Caenorhabditis elegans: one gene and its partner. The protein of the gene in region 1 interacts with the protein of each later gene in a pairwise test. Each region holds a gene or a part of one and is shown in the gene's direction. Other genes may lie near its edges.

Region 1 (3,755 bases):
TTTTGCATCGTCCGTGCATCATAGAAACAGGTGTTCATCGTGTTTATCTTGCAAACTCACCCAACCGACACTCATAAAACTGTGTATCTCTGGAGACTGGGAGAGATAACATCCACTTTCTACTCTTTGTCGAGCCTCTTTCATCCAGTTTTTTTCCGGTGTCAAAAAAAACTTCATATTTTCTTTTTTTTCATATTTATTCGTTTTTTCTTTCTGCTTTGAGATTTTGTCATATCTTACAAATCCAAGAAAAAAAAAAGAAAAATGTAATATCTTTCCTTCATCCCTTCCTTTTTATGTAGTTATTTATGTCTTCTTCTTTAATTAAATTTGTTTTTTCTTCTTATTTCCCATTATTTTGCTAACACCTTATTTGTTGAATATTCGATGGAGAGACTAATAATTGAACATTTTTGCATCCCAATTTTTCACAAAGCTAATATTTCGCGGTTTTTGATAGTTGTTTAAGACTGGGATGTATAGTTGGTGTTTCAATTTTGTCTACTCAGTTTTTTTTTCAATTTAAAATTGTTTTTGAAACAAAAACGTAAAAACCATTACATAAAAGTTTATAAGTAATTTAAAAGTTCCATTAAAAACAAAAAATAACCATGGTATAATCAGAGTATACATATATTGGGCATTTCAGAAGCAATAACTTCCAAATAACTTCAATGTGAACTGGAATATATGTAGTGACAAAATGCGAAATACTTAAATTGTGTAAGAGTTTAGTGTATACAGATTAAAATAAACTGACAAACTAAAAAAAAATTATAAAAGTATATATATATATGTCAAAAATTTGAGACTAGTAGTAACCTTAACAGTAAACATATTTTCAGCATGTTTTTGGTATAGCTCTGCACAAAATGGTAGTTTTATGAAATTATTGTGCTCAATGTTATTTCCTTGAAATAAATCTCGATTATTTTTTGAATAGTTACACTTTTTGGTTGAAGTTATTGCACCAAATGGAAATGAATTTTTCAAAAAGTTTTAAGTAGACGTATGAAACGGAAATAAAAAGAGTATGCAGAAAAAGATGCAAACCGAAATTGTTTGAAAAAAAAAACTTTAAAAAATGGCTTTGTTAGCCTTAAAGGAGTTATTGTTTTGAGCATTAGAATTAGATCCCAAGTCATTTGAGAACGTAGGAAAATCAAAATGTAGGTTTCTCTATGTAATTGATCGTAGTAAAACCCATGCACGTAATTGCTTCTATTACATTACATTACGATTTTCATATCAAATAATTTTTTTTCAGCATCTCTCAAACTTAAAGTTTAGTGTTTTGAAAAGATTTCAAATCTGTTTACTGTTTTTGTTACAAATACATCTGGCTAACCCGCCAACTTTGAATAAACACGATACTATTCCGGCAAATTCAGGAATGTTTGCTAAATGACAAATACAGCCGCGTTTCAATAGGAAACTAGAGGTGGAAAAGATGAAAAGTGTCCATATTTGTCTTGATTTCCTCTGCCATGCCGCAATCAAACTTTCTTTCACATAGTTGTTCTGCTTCAATAATTTAAGATTGGATGGTTTGATTTTGCATTTTGCAGAAAATATTATGTTATAAACAAGAAAAAATCCTAAGTTTAACGATTTCCGTCCCCCACGCACTCAAGTTCATTAAAATTAATGACGTAATGCTTACCTCTTTTTATAAGACCGCAACATGAGATTTTCCATCAGACAAGTACCACCTCAAATCCTCAATTTTTTAGTTCTCGAAAGAATGTTGCGGGGTTGATAAAACATGAATCTCTCTTGCAATCATTTATTGACATTATATCTCCTCCTAACGATCAAATCAAATTGGCCGAAAGAAAACGCGTAGAGCCCCCCCCCCCCCCCCCGCCGCCGACCCAAAAAACTGCCATTTTCTCTCCAGTCTCTCTATTTCAATATTCATGCGAGCCTGATATGCTTTTTCAATTTAATAATCATTCACTGTCCCTATGAGTTTTTTTCTGGTTATCTCTTTTTTTTCTTCAACTTTATCATTTGTTTATTCACGTTTATCAGCATTTTTCAGCTAAAACAGAATGAGGGAGCTTGACCCGGACGAGTCGAACCTTCTCCTCGATGAACAACTGTCGATCCGGGATGTGATAGAACAGTAAGATTTTTGAAAATTCAGTTAATTCTTGAAATAACTAAGAATTTCCAGAGGTCCATTTTCAAATGTATACCGAATACTTCATGGACCATCAAATCGAAAATTTTTACTGAGATCAATCAATTTGAATTTGTTCAGACAGCACACCGGGTTAGGATTTGAAGGTACAATTATTGTTATACAGTTGTTACATGGGGTACGACTACATGTAGTAGTCGTATTCCAAAAAAATTCTACGCACCTACTAAAATGATTTGTTCAATTCAAAAGTTGAAGCAGTGTACTTTTGTAGTAGCTGTAGTTGCTCTACTATACAAGTATCAAAAATAGTTTTCTCCCATTTTGATAAAGTCTTTTTTTAATTTTGGTTTTTTGTCTTTACAAAAATTGATAGGTTTTTGTAATGTTAATCGATCTAGTGATGAACTAATATCTTTCGAAAGGAGGCTCAAATGCAGTTAAAAAAAAGTTAATTAGAATAAAAATATCCAATTTCATTGGTTTTCATCCAAATACCATTGAGACCGTTAAAGAAAAGTTTCAACATTTTAAAAACAGGAAGTCATCGTTTCAACACACTGTCTCACAAAAGACTGAATTATTAGTTTTTGATGTTTTTTTTCGAATTGAACAAATTCAGGTGGTTAATACACTTTTTTTTTAAAGTTATGTTTTGACCTTTATTGTGGATTTTGAAGAATAAAAAATTTCTCAAAAAACAACCTGAGTGCACTTTTAAAAATTGAGAAAAAAAAAGTCCCCGCAGCGGATATTATTATTCTCGCCACCAGTTTTCCAATCAGAAGCGCACAAAATGTCCTCAAAGTTCTCATCTCATGAGCTCAGCAGCTCCAATCCCAATTCATCAATCAATCTATCAGCCATCATGTGTCATTTCGAACTTTGATCATTTTACCGAATCCGATCTAAATATAATTATTTCATTCCAAACCATCTCTTTTTCAGAAATCGACGAGGAAATTAGAATATGCCAAAATCTACAGCACCCTTACATATGCCGACTGGAAAAAACTATCAACAGCGTTCATTATCGACATATCATTTTTGAGAACATGGAGGGAAATGATATTTGTTTTGAAATAGTTCAAAGAGCAAGTAATGGATTCGTATTTTCTGAATATGTAGTAAGGTTTGTATTTTTACAATATAGACTGTGTGTCACGGCGTGTAAATTGGGACATCTGGCCTAGCGAAAAGTGAAAAGTGAGAATCCTAGGCCATGGCCGCTGCAAAGCGCGCGAAATTTGAATTTAAATTTTTAATATCATTGAAATTCGATGAATGAGACATTATAATGGATAAAACTGCAAAAATATATACAAAATTGTTTTTAAAATGGATAAATCACATATAACAACGATTATTTTCCTAAATAAAAGTGGAAATTCGATTTATTAGGCAATTATTAGGAAAATTCGACAAAAATGGCACATTTTTGAACTTTTTTCAAAAACTAGATCCACAAATTTTCTGAAATTTCACCAGATTACTCAGTAGACTACTTTAATCAAATTGTGTGCAAAAAATTCATACCCACCGTCACAAGTTCCTATTGAATTTTTCTATTTTAGCTCCGAAAACCACTAAAATTCGACAAAAATGGCAC
Region 2 (3,755 bases), on another chromosome or scaffold:
GTATTTTTAGTTCCTTTATTTTTTCAACGAGAAAATCAAATGAGGCAAACGCGCTGCAATGAAAATTTAAATTTATTTGTGCGCGCATTTGAAAAAACTCATTCGGACGCAAATAATATTCACGAATTTAAGCTGAAATATAATATCAGGGAAATTTTTTTGTTTTTTTTTCATACAGATATTCTGAATCAGAGGAATTTTTTTTAGTTATTTGAAAATATTTCCTAGATTTCGGAAATCAAAACAGCAGCTTTTGTACAACAGCTTTTTTTTAAATGTAAAACTTGTTTAAAAGTCAAACCACGTCCATTTTAAAAATTAATTTTTTAACTTATAAAATAAAAACATGTGGAATGCTTTTGCATGTACATTTATACAAGTTTTTTGAGAAAAATACATTTAAATTTGAAAAATGTGTTTACTAAAATTCTGATCAATTTTTTTGTTATTATATATTAATAGCTGAACTTTACTTTAAGACAAAAATTCCTCTAATTAAAATCTACCTTCAAACCATTTTTTCAGTTTTTGCAAATTCTCCTCGGAAATCGCAGTAGGACTGGGAGCTAGATCATTGAGTGGCGAGAGAAAATCACGGAAATTTTTCAGGCGATTTTTCAGGCCCCATGTTGCCTCCCATCCGTATTTTGGTTTCATGAGAGATTGGAGATCATGAAATAAATGCAAAAAAGCATCCAGCGAGGTGGTGATCTTTTTCAGTGATTCTCGCTGTAGTTGAAGATGTGGGAGCTTCTTAAGTAAATTTACAGCTTCTTCTCTATCCTTATAAACTTTAGTGTTCTTCCTTTTCCCGACAATCTCCTCGAAAGCTCTCTGCTCATCCCATCCGCCAATAGATTTTGTTTTGTAGAAACTTGAAATCCTATCAAAATCGATATCCCGATCTAATAGCTGATTCGTCAGATCCGTAGAAGCGATTTCGCCGCTGAGAAGCCCATCGACGATAAGATAGCAGTTAAGGAGCGGTGGTAGTGAGCTCATCCAGTGAATCCACAGGTTTATGGAGTCCTTTCCGTAGACTGAAATTATTTTTAATATTAAAGTAGAAAAAAATTATTATATAAACTAACTATACGCAGGAAAACTCGCATTAAGTTCCAGATTTCGATCGAAGAATTGTGGATGTCCAGCTGGAAATTTTTATTTAAATTTAGTAAATTTAGTGAAGAAATTTAATTTAAAAATACCTGTCAAGCGCTGACCCTTAATCTGCTCCAACATTTGAATACCTTGCCGCTCCCTTTCCGAAATTTCGAGATCTCCGCAGTGTTTACCCGGTAGAAAAACAAGAAGAAAGGGAATTATCGTTATAATCATCGTTATCTGGAAAAAAATTAATTTTCATGGAATATATTTCAAATTTTCGACAACCAAACGCTGAAAATTCACATTTTTTTCAGGAAATTTGGTTGAAAAATCTGTTTTTCATAATATTTTGAGAAAAAAACAAGCGTAAAGGTATTCAAGGCGCATGCAATTCACTTAAGCCAGGGTCTCGAAGCGAACAGAAAACATACGGTATTTGAAAATATTCTTGTTTTCCGCGGAAAGTCGCAGAATTTAATTTGATTTTTTTAACTTAAAAAAACAGAAAATTAACCGTTATACCTTTTGAGCAAAAAATTCTACAAGATAATAATTTAAAACAATTAAAAATTGAATAAACATTGAAAATTAAATGCTTAAATTTCAAGGCGCGTGCATCAAACTTTTGTTTGGGTCTCACACCGAATGTAACAAGTACGGTAAGAGTGCGCGCTTATTTTCATTTTTCGAATTTGTGCGACCAGTTCTCATGTTTTTTAAACGATTTTTGCGGTAATTTTGGCCATTTTTTCTAGTTCCCACCGACAAATTGCATTATTTCCGTATTTTCAACGAAAATTTTGTTAAAAAACCAACAAAAATTTAGAAAATTGCATCATTTTGCAGGGATGAATGGTCAAGCGGATCGCTGCGACCGAACCGCCTACGTTTCGGGTCTTCAGCCGACAATCTCCGACATAGAACTGTTCGAGGTGTTCAATCGTGTCGCTCACGTCGAGAAGGTCATCGTTCGCAATGGAGCCGCCCGTCACGCGCTCATTGTTTTCAAGTTGGCATTTTTTTTCCATTTTTCCTCATCTAAATCTCTAATTTTCCTATTTTCAGAACTGTTCAAGGCCTGTATCAGGTGCTCGTAAACTTTCAAGGAACAACTCTTCACGGCCGTCAGCTGCACATTCGTCCACTGCGAGAAAGTTCGCACGCGAACAGCGAGGCCATCTCAACGATGTTCGAGAAGGTCAAACATCAGGGAAATTCCGGGAATTCTTCGTATCGTCAAGAGCACTCGTTCCCCGAGTACCGAAACCAGAACCCACAGGCTTCATCATACCTTCCACCGAATCCACGTGGTCATCGAAACTCGACGGGCTGTTTCAATGGTGGCGGCGGGGGCTATGGACGCCGACGTTCCGCCGGTGGATACAATCAGTACAATCAGAACAAGTATCCGAACGAAACGTACCCGGGAATGACTCTGTTCGATAATCATCCAGTGCAGCAGTATTCGGGCTTCAATCCCATCGATTTTCGCTTTGATGACTATGTGGAAGGAGCCAAAAGGTGCAAAATTCGCCAAATTTCGCTAAAAAATCTGAAATTTCGCCGACTTTTCCCGTAGCGCAGCAGTTTTTTCTTGATTTAGGCACATTTCAGGCAATTATTTTCGGCAAATCAATATTTTTCCACCATATATGTTCTAGAATGTTTTAGATGTACTAGATTTTATTTTCAGACGAATCAAGTGATTTTCTATATTTTTACACTATTTTTTGTTGAAATATGACCAGAATATGCAACAAAGTGTTCCAGCTGCTGCGAAAAGGAAAAATCGGCGAAATTTCGAATTTCAGTCTATTTTAATCTGTTTAAGCAAAAAGAAAACTAATTTTTAAAATTCAGATTCGACAACCTTGCCAACCTGATTCGCTCGAGCACCCCCACGGATCCGTTCGCTAATTATCAAAAGTATTTTTGAATTATTTTGAAAATCAATAAATTGGTTTTTTTTTCAGACCTTGTGAATCCACAAGCACATCTCGTTCTCGTACGAATTCAGCAAAAGATCAAAAGCATGGCCCGCCAACGTGGAAAATGGAGCTGCAGATTAAGAAAGATGACCACCACCACGCCGGCGGCGGAGCAGCAACCACAGGACAGAAGCTGTCCCCACAACAGTTTTTGGCTCAGATAGCTCAGAGACAACAATCGGAGCAAAACGCGGATGAGGTGGCCAAGAAGAAGCGTCCGAACCTTTCGGTTATCAATCCATCGCTTTTCTATGAGCAATACCCGAGAACATCGTCGCCAGTTGTTTATGCTTCAAAATCTAGTAATATTTTTTGGAGATTTTGGGAAAAAAACAAATTTTCTCGAAAATACGCCCGAAATAGTGTTTCACGCGAAAATTGGCGATATTTCAATTTTTCTGAAAAATTGCTATAATTTTTTCGATTTTCACGTGAAATTGCAAGTTTTTGGATATTTTTCTCGAAAAACGTCAATTCATCGATTTACGCAGCTAGTATACTCAGCAATTGACCATTTTTTTGCAGACAATTTGGTATTTTTTACTTAAAATTCTTGATTTTCGACTTCTCGTGTGCTAATCACTTTTTCAAATGCGCGCCCGAAGAATTTCTCATTGGAGCGTGCTTGCTTCGTGTAGATTTACGAGAGCTTTCCATTTA

What was found. The genes of interacting proteins can lie anywhere in the genome.
Region 2: the proteins of lin-2 (region 1) and rnp-8 interact in a two-hybrid assay, tested with the Caenorhabditis elegans proteins (3 studies listed by BioGRID).

Annotation. Positions count from the first base shown.
Region 1 is NC_003284.9:12,412,325-12,416,079, reverse strand, and holds the start of lin-2 (Protein lin-2), read left to right. Parts: upstream 1-2,038; 5' UTR 2,039-2,054; coding exon 2,055-2,128; intron 2,129-2,179; coding exon 2,180-2,292; intron 2,293-3,094; coding exon 3,095-3,278; intron 3,279-3,755. UniProt on the Caenorhabditis elegans protein: May play a structural role in the induction of the vulva. May be required for the localization of signal transduction molecules (such as let-23 receptor) to either the basal membrane domain or the cell junctions.
Region 2 is NC_003279.8:362,564-366,318, forward strand, and holds the start of rnp-8 (RRM domain-containing protein), read left to right. Parts: upstream 1-1,946; 5' UTR 1,947-1,955; coding exon 1,956-2,116; intron 2,117-2,172; coding exon 2,173-2,628; intron 2,629-2,967; coding exon 2,968-3,033; exon of another isoform or gene 3,034-3,080; coding exon 3,081-3,397; intron 3,398-3,755.